3 linked regions of the Macaca fascicularis genome follow. The protein of the gene in region 3 purifies or fractionates together with the protein of the main gene of each other region. This does not show direct contact. Links are inferred from orthologs where the notes say so. Each region holds a gene or a part of one and is shown on either strand. Other genes may lie near its edges.

Region 1 (4,076 bases), on a different chromosome or scaffold from region 3:
CTTCTTTGACTAAGACTACATCACACATGCCCAGCAAGTATCTCTGGGGCTGGAAAGCAGTTAAGACCGAACCCGGGGAGAAATTGGGAACACGAAAGAAATAAAAAACGCCTCATTATTCCCAAACCCATCCCATTTCCCAAAGTGCTGCCTATGTGCTGACTTTCTTCAAGACTCCCGCAAAATCTTGATTCTCCAAAAATTAAACCCATTTGGAGCTGAGACAAGGTGAGGTCCACGCCTGGTATGATCAGACTACCATGGATCTGAGTCTGGTTTGGTTCTAGCCCCGTGGAGGCCAAGCCTCACCACGAGGTGAGGACCCGGAGGCATGGAGGAAGGGAATGAAGGAGAGAAAAGGAGAAAGGGGAGACCTCCGGGCCACACTTCTTTCTAGTACCAACAAAAAGAGAAGCCGCATACTGACCTAAATCATCTCTCAAAGGCGCTTTATAAATTACAGGGACAAAGGGAGGGGGTGGCGGGTGGCCTGGGAATCCTACAGACACCCTACCCTCTGACCCGCCCCCCTCCCCCTCCAGCACAAGGGAAGGAAGACAGAAAACAGAGCTCAACTCGGCCATTGGCGAGAAGCCCCCTCCGGTTTTCTATCGCCCATCCATCTGCCCCCTAGAAAAAAAATCCACGTAAACACCATACCCACCCCCTGGGGCAGACACTCCCGCCCCGAGGTTCCTAGAACCGGAGGCCGGGGCATTTACTTAGTTAGATTTTTCTTGCTTACTCATTTCCCTCGAGCACCCAACCCCCCGTTCCCACTCCAAAACCCCGCTCAACCGCCTACCCTCACCGCTTCAGCCCCCAACAGAATCCGGTGCCCCCGCGGCGTCGGCGGCCCCCGAGCCGTCCCGGTCACTAACCTGCTGCTGTAAGGGCATTTCCGAAACCAGCCTGGCTCCGGGGGGAGGTGGGGGGCCGGCTGGAGAGGGGGCCCGGAGGGCCGAACAGACCGGCGGCGCAGGGCGAGGGCGGGCGCCGGTGGGGGGGTGGGGAGAGGAGAGGGAGGGTGGCGGTGCCGGGGGCGGGTGCGAGGGCGCCGGGACCGTCCCAGGCCAGGGAGCCGGCGAGCAGGAGGAAGTGGGTGCCCCCCTCTCCCCCTCCAGCGCCCCCTCCCGCCGCCGCCTCCTCCCCAGTCACAGGCGCGTCCTGCGCGCACGTGTGCGAAACGTCACCGGCGGGTCCCGGAGAGAGGGACAGACCCAGGCGGCGGGACGGGAACCCGGCTGCCCCCGCCCTCCGTCGCCGGGGGGCGGAGAGGGGGACAGGGCGGGGAAGGAAGGGGCAAGGGGAGAGGCGGGTCAAGGGCAGGCCCGGGGCCCGGCGAGGAAGGCCTGGGCGCTCGGGCCACGCGGGCGCCGCCGCTGCCACCACCAGGATGCGCCCAGGCCAGAGCGCCAGCCGGCAAGCCCCTCACCCCAGACAGCCCACGCCCCAGTCCGCACCCGGCTTCCAGCCCCACCTCCCCCACGCCCGACTCCCCTCCACCTCCCCCAGCCCCTTTGTTGCTGGGAGTTACTGATCCTAAAATGTGTCAAGCGCAGCCCCGCCGATCCCCTGCGCTCCGAGCACGCCGCAGGGACCCCCGGCCGCCAACGAGCCTTCAAGGCAGACTGGGGGCGAGCACCCCAACAGTCCCCCGGTTTCCACCCTTCAGAGCCCCCCACACCCCAGTTCACTGCTCCCTCCCCCACCCCCTTCTCCATCCGGGGCGTGACCCCTTCCTACGCCCGAGAAAGAGGAAGCTTCGGGTTGGAGGGGAAGGGAGAGTGGGGGTAGGGAAAAGTGCAGGAAAAGAAGGGGGGGCCGCGAAAAGTTTTGGAGTGTTTGATGTGGTTCGCGCCAAGGCAATCCCCGCCGCCCCGCGCGCCTGGCCGAGCCCCCCGACCCTCCTGGCGCCGGGGAGAGCACTCAGGTCTAACAATGAACCCTCGTTGGAGGGGCAGCCCCCAAGGCCCACGATGCTCGGCCCACTGCTCTCCCTGAGCGGTCCGCAGCGCGCCCACGACCCCGCGCGGTGCGAGCCCACCTCCCGCCGGGGCTGGGGACGGTGGGGAGGGAGGGTATTACCGGAGGGCCGCCGCCGCCGCCGCTGCCGCCGCGTCCCAGGGCTGGTGGCTGCTGCAGCAGCCCGGCTCTGCTGGAGGGTCCGTGCGGCGTGGTGTAGAGGAGGCTGCCGGCGGTCTGCTCCGCGCCGGGGGCACTGGGGAGGAGGGGGCCGGCGGCTACGGCGCCGCTTTGGAGGGAGGAGGAACAGGAGGTGGTGGAAGTGTTCGTGGTGAGGATCTGGATGTACGCGCCCGGGGCGGCGGCAGCGGCGGCGGCGGCGGCGAAGCCGGGGCTGGCTAGCAGTGCCCTTTTGTCCATGGAGGCTGCAGCGGCGGCGGCGACGACAGCCGCCCCCTCCCCACCCCCGGCGGTCACCAGGTACTGCTCCAGAGCGGGCTGGATCCCCTTTCTCATCTCTCGCTCCTGCTCTTTTTAGTGTTATGGTATATTAATGTATTGTTTTCAATTTCTTTATTATTTGCAGTCGGAGTTTCCAAGTCTCTCCTCCTTCTCTCCTCCCCGCCCGGCGCTTCCGAGCCCCCTCTCTCTCTTTTCTTTTTATTTTTCCGCACCGCACAGGCCCCGGGGGCCAAAAATAATCGGGGCTCTGGAGAGAGGAGGGTCCCGGCCGCACGGATATCGGGCCCCAAGCGGGGATGGAGGCGTCGGGGGCGGCCGATGCAACGGATTGCGAGGCGGCGGCGGCAGCCCGGGTGCTGCGGCCGGCAGCTGAAAAATGGCTCCAGGAAGCTGCTGCTGACAATGAATGAAGGGATACGGTTTACGCGCCAAGGTCCTCCCGCGAAACTCGGATTTCCCGCCGGCTTTTCAAACCATATTTGCATATCCCCGCCCCTCAACCCGCCGAGGACCGTTCCCACAGCCCATTGGGCCTCTAGCTCCTTACTTTAGTTCCAATCGTGGAGCAGGGCCGCGATTTGCAGGTTTCCATTGGCTGCCGTGCATCATGGTTACCGGGGCGACAGGGACCCTATTTGCATAGGTCTCCTTGATTGGCTGGGAGAAGAGCAGTTTTTAGGGGGTGGGGCAAAGACTTTCCTTCTCTCCCACGGAAGACCACGCCTGGCCTAGGCTCCGCCCCTGTCCCCGCCCCCCCGCCGGGCCGGCTCTACTGACCTGGGCAGGGACTCCGCGCCCCGCAGACTCAGTGTAGATCTAGTCTAGAGCGCAAGTTTCGCTTTTGGAAATTGTCAAGGTGACTAAGGGAACACTCTCTTTCCTTTGACCAGTCAGTGCAATATACGAACAGCAGCACGAGATTCTTCCAAATGTGTGCCAAAGGCAAGTTGGACCATGCGGACTATGCCTGGCAGGTGGAAAAGGAGCCCTTTAAATCGTGGGCTTCTCCCTTTCTGAAATCCAACCAATGACGCGGCGAGAGCTGATCCCGAGGCCGGGGCTGATAGACAGAAGCATGTGGGCAGACAGAATCGTGGGGGCAGAAGGTTCAGCAGACGCGATTGCGGGCACCAGTTAACATTCCAGATCATTCCCGGTACCTTCATTATTAGCCTGGATAGGGGTAAAGTACAAATTAACTCCTTTGTCTTACGACGAGTATTGGTTTGAGTCCGGCAGATATTCCCTCTGGCCCAGAAACACCTAGGGCAGTTAATCAGGGCTAACCTAGAACTGATCTGCGGGTTTCTAATCCGCCAAGCAGTAATCCGAAAAAGTACACGCTTCCCACGATGACGTCGTGCCCCCAACAAACGCTGGCACGCCCGGGCATCAGCACTTTGTATCTTTAGTTTTGTAAGAAGTTCTCTGACTGGAAGCAAACACGACTCAAACCTATCCCAAAGTATTTTTAAAATAGTGTTGTTGTTTTTAAGTAAACTAGAAATTATCTAGTTTTAAGTAAACTAGAAAAATATAAAATGATTGTCAAACTGACCCCTGAATTTGTTCAAGTATTCAAGTGTCTTAAAATTAAAGCTTGCTCCTGAGACTGAGCAGGAAGAGAGACCCCTGCAGGAATGTGGGGA
Region 2 (4,340 bases), on a different chromosome or scaffold from region 3:
TATGATCCAGGTTCTGTGCTGAAAGCTTTATATGCATTATCTCAGGAGATTTCCTCATGATCCTATGAGGTAAGTGCTATTAGGATGAGAAAATCAAGGATCAAGGATCAGAGAATTTACAAAATTTGCCTAGGTCACACAACGAATAAAGTGTCTGGGCCTGGGTTTGAACTCAGGGCTGTTGGCCACACAGCCTGGGCTCTTAATCATCATGGGTTATTGCCACCTTGTCCTCAACCATCTAATGAGGAAATAAGCTGTGGACTGTCTCTGGAGGGTTTTGAATGCCAAGGCTCAGACTTGCATAAAAATCACACAGCACCAGGCAAGAATCAGACCTGGAATGTAGCAGCAGCTTCTAGCAGCTTTACCACTCACTACCAAAGGTTGCTTCTCTGAGCCTCTCTAAACTGGAGTGGTGAGGAATATATTATCAGCAATGAAGATTTTTGAATGAGGCAGGGAGGCTCTTGTGACAAAAGGATTGTTTAAAAGAAACCTGGAGATGTTCAAACATTTACTGAGTGTTGGGTCCTAAGAATACAACTGTGAATAAGACAAAGCTCTGCAGTGGGCCTCTGACCCTGCTGTGCCGGCAGGCAGCTTGGGAGGGTAGAAGAACCCCTTAACTGGAAAAACAAGGGCTCCAGAGCTGGGACCTGTCCCAGATTCCATTGCCAGCTCTCAAATCAGGGAATCTCTCTGTATGACCTTGGGCAAGTTACCCAGCCTTTCAGACTGTCAGTCTTTATCATGGGGATCATCATTCCTCTTCCCAGGATTGTTGGAATAAATTAAAACAATCCTTGTAAGGATCTAGCATGGTGCTTGGCATCCTGCAGGCGCTGAATAGATGTTAGTTTTCCCTATAAAGAAGTAGACTAGTTTGCCTCCATCCCTCACCCCTCTGCCATTAAAGGGAACAAGTTCCTGGCCTTCATTTTAGCAGGAAAGGGGATATGAATGCACATGTGCTAGCTAAGCAACAATGCAAACTAACAAAAGGGCCTGTGGCCTGGGGAATACACTGCTGAGTCTGGGCTCAGGTCGGGACCCGGCGCCAAAATGTTTCCCTTCAACCCCAGGGAATCCGGGCCCATTTCTCGGGGCGCTGTGCTCTGTTCTGGCCGCCTCTGCACTGTGCATCCCAGAACCACCCTGTCTCCGTCTCGCCGGCTGCTAGCTAGCGCGTCCAGCGGCGGGCGGCACCGACAGCAGGTGTGGCTGCCCCTTTAAGCAGCGAAGCTCGTGTTGCAATCGCCGCCTCGAGGACTGGTTCTTTCCGGGGGGTGGAGCCTGTACTCTTGCAGCAGCCAACGGGAGCGCGGCATTTTCCGCGGGAGATCCGAATTTCGCGGCACGCCGTTTGGCGCTTAAAAAAAAAAAAAGAAAAAGAAAAAAGAAAAAAAAAGAGGCAGAGAAAGACTCAGGGACTAGAGAGCGGGCCGCAAGGAAGTCGGTGCAGTCGAGACCCCCTTCCCCGTCCCAGCGCATCGCGTCTCCACGGAGCTCGCGGGCACGCCGGGGACTCCTCCCCAGAGCCGGCTGGACCCCAGGTGCCGAGGCCTTGGGGGGCGCGGGGCGTCCCGGGTCGCGGTGCCCTCGGGGCGGGACAGCCCCTGGCAGTGCCACCACCGCAACCGCCGGTCGATCTCCAAGCGGCGATCTCCAAGCGCTGCTCTGCTCGGCTGCGGGCCAGGAGGGGAGGGTCCGGCCTTGCCCCGCAGACGTCCATTGGTGGCTTTCCCCGGCCTCCGCGCCATGCCGCGGGCCGTGTGAGCGGCTGCAGCACCGGAACCCGCAGGTGTCGGCGGGCGCGCCAGGCCCGTTTGGGTAGGGGGCGCCTTACTCGCTATGCTGCAAGGGCCCCGGGCCTTGGTTTCGGCCGCTGGGCAGCCCCCGAAGGTGGTGCCCGCGATGAGCCCCACAGAGCTGTGGCCATCCGGCCTCAGCAGCCCCCAGCTCTGCCCAGCTACTACCACCTACTACACGCCGCTGTACCCGCAGACGGCGCCTCCCGCAGTGGCGTCCGGCACCTGCCTCGATGCCACTCCCCACGGACCCGAGGGCCAAGTTGTTCGATGCCTGCCGGCAGGCCGGCTACCGGTAATGCTGGGGCCCCCACCGCTTCCCCCTATGCTTTTCCAGGTGTGGGAAAGGAGGGAGGGGTGCCTGAGATCCAGTTTGAGTGGAGCAGGTAGAGTTTTGGGAAGAGGGAAGATGAGCTTTCAGTTTCCAGGACCCAGTGCCCCCAGTATCTGAGTAGAAGACCCCTTCATTTTCAGACTTTGGATGAAGTAATCTCATCCATTCTAGTGGAGTGGAATGAGCACTGGATTGCGAGTCTGGAGGGAGACCCAACCCACTACTCCCAGTGCACTGTGTGACCTTGGGGAAGCCCATGCAGCCAAAGTTGCCGCCATTCATTCATTACTTCATTGTTTGGCCAGAAACCAGCACTGGGTGCCTGCTATTGTCCAGGCAAAGAGCATGCCTGGGGACACTGTGGGACTTTGGTAAGACAGAGGGATAGGTCTAGTGAGTCTCTCAGGTTCAATCTGCCATGGACAGACTCCAAATTGTCCAGCCAACTCCTGGTATAGCCCCAAGTATCTGCCCTTGGTCCTCCCCAAGGCCCAATCTTCCCTCCCAGGCAGCCTGTAGCAGATAGAAATGTGGGCAGCCCCCTGGGTTCTGTTCAGATTGGCTGCTCTCTCCTTAAGCTCCCAGGCTCGTTGCCAGAGATGGCCCAAAGTGTAGTGGCACCAGGCTGCCTGCCGACCTGGGCTCAGGGTGTGTTTTGTGGGAGTGGAATTCCTGGAGCCCATGTGAATCAAAACAACTTTAGGGTGGGGGGTGGAATGGGAAAAGCCCGGGGAAGTGGGGGTGGTGGTGGTTGAGGAGCCTGGTTTCTGGTGTGACTGCCATTAATTCTCTGTGTGTCCTTGGACAAGTCTTGGCCCCAGTCTGGGCCTCAGTGTCCTCTCCTTGACAATGCGTGTGTGCACAGGGTGGCTGTGGGGCTAGCTCTTCTCTGCCACATTCGACTCCAGGTCCTGGGTTTTGGAAGCCGGCTCCAGGGAGAGGATTGGGGTGTTATAGGTTTGCTTAGTTGTGGGTGTGGTGAATAAGTTCAGGTACAGGGATAAGACCACCCCCCACTGCCCCAGAGGCATCTGGTCAGACCTGTGCTAGTCAGCAGGCACGGATGCCCAGCCAGCTCTGGATGCAGGCAGAGCCACTACTCCCTGCCAGTGGACTCAGGCTTTGCCCATGTTCAAAACGTTAACCTTCCCGGAGACCCTTCCTGCACATGATTTCTAACTAGGAGGGCAGTGGGCAGGAATGGTATTGTCCCCATATTACAGGTTAAGCAACCGAGGATAACTGGGATTGGTGATCTTGTGGTCAGCGTTTTATAGCCCAAAACATCTTTGTAGTTTGTGAAATAGATGGCATTAGTAGCTCCATGTTACAGGGGGAAAACAGGCTCAGAGAGGGGATGTGACCTAAGGTCAGAGATGGGGATGGGATAGAGTGATGGGACTCACAAGGCAGTAGGCTCTTCTCTGTTTTATTTTTTGCAGAGACAGGGGTCTCCCTATGTTCCCCAGGCTGGTCTCAAACTCTTGGGCTCAAGCGATCCTCTTGCCTCGGCCTCCCAAAGTGCTGGGATTACAGGCATGAGCTACTGCACCTGGTCAGGCAGTAGGCTCTTCTCTATGTAGCCTTGACTTTCTTTATTACTGCCTGACTTAGGAGCTGAGTACCCCCCGGGGAAGGGAACTTTGCAGCAGGCCCACTCTCCTCTGGCCAGCTGCTTTCACACTGGAATTTTCAGTAACAGCTGTGGTTTTCCACTGCTTTGAACCCTCCCAGAGGAGCCCAAGTGCATCTTGTCTGTACCTCCCTCCCAGAGGGGCTCAGTGATCTTAGCAAGAAGGTCTCTTTTTTACTGAGTGCCTCTCGTGTGCCAGACACTGCTTGGCACTCTTCACGTTCATTATCTTGGTCAAGATGTTCAGAATGAGGCATCTTGCAGATAAGGAAACTGAGCAAAGAAAGGAAGTCACTTGCCTGGGTCACAAGCAAAGAAGCAGGAGAGTCTCCTTGCAGCAGACCACCCTAAATGCCTGCCAGGCCCAGAGTTCCCACTCCTGTCATCCCCAGATGCCCGGGGCCCAGCCCCGTGGGCAGGCCTGCCCTCTGCTTACTCATTTTACAAGGGTGTGACCTGGAGCAGCTCCAAACCCAACCCTGGGTGTGGCCACTTGCTTTGTGGCCAGGCTGCAAAGTGCAAGGTGAGCAGGATTTGTTGGGGAGCTTCTGTTTAAAGCGAC
Region 3 (3,466 bases):
GGGCAGCCCCGTATATACAGTTGATTTTGTACATCCTAGTCTTCAATGTCTGGCTTCCAAAAGGGGTAAGAGAAAAATGAAGGAACAGGGGTTGGGGTAGAAAGCTGAAATGGACCAAAATTAACTGCAATGTGCTGACCAAGCCTCCCTTGAAAGTTTTCAGCCTTCAGTAGATTCCAGTTACAGAACAGCTGCATCAGGCAGATCCTGCCCGCAAGGTAGACGTCTACCTGGGGAGCCAGATTCCTGGTGCTTCCTATTCCGCCATCTTCCCAGAATCCTCTCAATTTTATTCTTGTTCTCAAAGTCAAACTTTTAAATTTTGTCTCAATTTTCATTGTGAAAAAGGGCCAAGGAACTTGGCTTATCTTTCTCTGCACCACAGGCACCAAAAAGGAAGGTGCCTCTTTGCCCTGTGTCCACCAAGACCTTCACCCTTGGCCACCTTCCACCTTCAGGGTAAGCTCCCAGAGGATGTGCCTCAGACAACATTTGGTGGGGAAGGGGTTCACACCCACAGGGACCACCCAGGCCTAAGGCGTCTGGGCCTAACAACCTACTTTCTCACTCAAGTATAAAGTAAAACCAACAAGACAGACAAATTTCTAGATAATAATCCTGAATTAGAGAAACACAGCTTGTTTAAAATGCCCATGCGCGTTTTATTAATAAAAACTAACAGTGCCAAGTTAAACAAGTCAAACAATTAAAGTCTCTTTATATTCCATAAAATATTACAGAAAAGTTTATTTGTGTTTCAATAAAAAGACTATCGTTTTAGAACAGGCAGCTAATAGCAACTGTGCAGTTAATGGGTTTTGTGAATAAATTTTAAAAGAGACTACTGCCTGTCCTTAAATTCCTTTTTCTTTTTATAAAAAAAGAACTATTAAAAATGATTGACAAATTTTGAGTTAAAAAATTGTTAAAACATTCTCTATATTTAATTTCAATTTTATAATAGATTACAGGAAGATGCTTATGAAACAAATACATTTGTTTCAGTAGATGTCTTTAAATGATAGACTTATAAGTATGTAAACAACTATATAATAAAAGGTTTCCAAACACTGCCTGTAAGAAATCAGGCAAATTTTACCATAAGCAATAAACCATTCCAAGCCTTCCAGACAGTCTCCATAGCCGCACCAGCGTGGCAATAAGCTTTAACCAAACAAAAACAAACAAACAAAAGCACTTCGCAATTTGTTGCTGCAAAATAGGGAGAGAAAAGAGTGTATAAACTTGATGGAATCACAACAGTCAATATAATTTAAGGGACAATAAAGTCAATAAGGTTGATGGTGTTTATTGTTTAAAAAGTCGAATTCTGCTGTTTGCTTAGGGCTGTTTAGAAAGTCGAATTCTGCTGTTTGCTTGGACACCGTACCACTGAACAAACTCCACAGTCTCGCTATCCGCCAGCAGGGGCGCTGTCCAAACTCATGGCAAATAAGTGGCATCAGGGGGCGCCGTCCAAACTCACGGCAAATAAGTGGCATCAGGGGCGCCGTCCAAACTCACGGCAAATAAGCGGCATCAGGTGCTCACCGTCCACAACAGGAGGGTGTTTTATTTTCATGGATGTGGATGAAATACAATTTCTTCAGCAAACTCAGCAAAAACTTTTCAGGGGCAAAAATGAACTCTGCACTTAAAGAAAAATAGCAAATGAAAACACAAAATCCTAAAAAGTAAATAAACGCTCTGCATCAGCACACTGGTATCAAAACACACATCCACAGCACATCCTAATCCTACGGGAAACAATCCTTGCTTATTAGAGGTGCATATCTAAATTCAATAGCTTACCAATATCTTCTTGGGAGTAGGCCAAAAGGAACAGAAAACCCACATTAAAAAAAAAGTTTCTTTTCCTAAACGTTTTCCTGAAGCTGAATTTGAAGTGGGGAGGACATCAGTCGTCCTCGTCATTCTCATTGAAGTCATCGTCCTCCTCATCGTCCTCCCCGACGTAGGACACCGGGGTCTCCACCCTGGAGCCGCTGTACTGAGACCCATTGGAGCTTGTGGCCAGCATCCCATCTGCGCCGTTGGTCAGGTCACTGCAAGGCAGGAGGCGGATGAGGGGTGGTCAGTGCAGGGCAGCCCACTCAGCCTCCCCTCGCCTGAGGGCCTGTGGCCAAAGGACAGGCAGTGCCCCACAGGTGTGGGTTTTGTCATTCACACAAACAGAACTGGAAGGTTGTGAGTGTCTGCAGTAGAGCACACCAGCGCTCTGGCACTCACTCCATCCCTGTCTGGTTCTCTTCTAGCCCTGTCTCCTGGCATCCATAACAACAGAAACAGGAGGCCGAGCAGTCACACGCTGCCTCTCCCTCACTCATCATTCCATCAGGAGCAGTGCCCCAGAGGGAACAAACTGTAAAACCATTAGACCCCTCCCTCCAGGACTTTCACTCATAACCAGCAACAGGAAAAAAGAGAGCCTGGGGCAGGACCGGATGAAGTCCAGAGTATGGGTCGAATCTGGCAGCATGGACTGAGAACCCAGAGGGTTGGCAGCACCACAAAAACCTACCACCAACCAGAGCTCACAACATTCCTAACATTTAAAAATGTTTTTCAATTAACATAAACCCATATGTACATATTTTAATACATTTTAATGGTATTTAAAACACTACAATAAAAATCAGTCAATGTGCCTTTTGATGAAGTAATTCCGTATCTTGGAAACAAGTCAGAATGGTGAGAAATTCAGCCATAAAGCTGCACACTGTAGTTTTTCTTATAACTGGGAACTACCTAGATGTCCTTTCATGAGGTACTTTTATAATATGTCCTATCATGCCACTATGAAAATTGGTATTTGGTAATAGCTTCGTTTCTATTGTTATGAAAAACTGACGAGTCTGAAGAATCACATCCATAAAAAGATTATATGATGATAAAAGTCCTAAAAATACCCGTATCCCACCTCATGGAAGAACCAGCATTAAACATGTTAAACGTGTTTACAGACGGACCCCTACACGTTCACACATAGCTACAAGAATCGGCCTGTCAAAAGCTTGTCACCAAAGTCCTTTCTTCCATCACCATCTCACTGATCCTTGCCACAGATCAGTAACTCATCAATCACCAGTCTCACCTTACAGGTGAGGAGGCTAAGGCTGGCAGAGGCTGGCTTTGCACCTCCAGAGCTGGCCAGGAAGCTACACGTGCCTGACACACCTGTTACATCTCATGGCTACAGCACATCCCAACGCAGGCTCAAGCGCACTGCAACTCACTATGTCGAGCCCTGTTATCCAGACCCATAGGTTACTAAGTTCTTATATTTCTAATGAAAGATTTTATTAAGATTATAATATAAAGTAATACTATATATTGTATCACAATGCAATATAATAGTTAATAAAATAATTGTTTTGTTAATATTTACCATAAAAGGTATATTTATCTTTGAAGCACTAAGATCAATACCTAGGGACATCATTCT

Evidence for each region.
Region 1: the proteins of TFDP1 (region 3) and E2F3 purify together in Homo sapiens (affinity purification with mass spectrometry; 3 studies listed by BioGRID and IntAct, with this or other methods). This does not show direct contact. The link is inferred for Macaca fascicularis from reciprocal best matches to the Homo sapiens genes TFDP1 and E2F3.
Region 2: the proteins of TFDP1 (region 3) and E2F2 purify together in Homo sapiens (affinity purification with mass spectrometry; 3 studies listed by BioGRID and IntAct, with this or other methods). This does not show direct contact. The link is inferred for Macaca fascicularis from reciprocal best matches to the Homo sapiens genes TFDP1 and E2F2.

What each region holds. Positions count from the first base shown.
Region 1 is NC_088378.1:152,550,884-152,554,959, forward strand, and holds the start of E2F3 (transcription factor E2F3), read right to left. Parts: upstream 2,812-4,076; 5' UTR 2,482-2,811; coding exon 2,089-2,481; intron 1,087-2,088; exon of another isoform or gene 900-1,086; coding exon of another isoform or gene 882-899; intron 1-881.
Region 2 is NC_088375.1:211,588,302-211,592,641, forward strand, and holds the start of E2F2 (transcription factor E2F2), read left to right. Parts: upstream 1-1,416; 5' UTR 1,417-1,854; coding exon 1,855-2,106; intron 2,107-4,340. UniProt on the Homo sapiens protein: Transcription activator that binds DNA cooperatively with DP proteins through the E2 recognition site, 5'-TTTC[CG]CGC-3' found in the promoter region of a number of genes whose products are involved in cell cycle regulation or in DNA replication.
Region 3 is NC_088391.1:104,032,014-104,035,479, reverse strand, and holds the end of TFDP1 (transcription factor Dp-1), read right to left. Parts: intron 2,067-3,466; coding exon 1,919-2,066; 3' UTR 642-1,918; downstream 1-641. UniProt on the Homo sapiens protein: Can stimulate E2F-dependent transcription.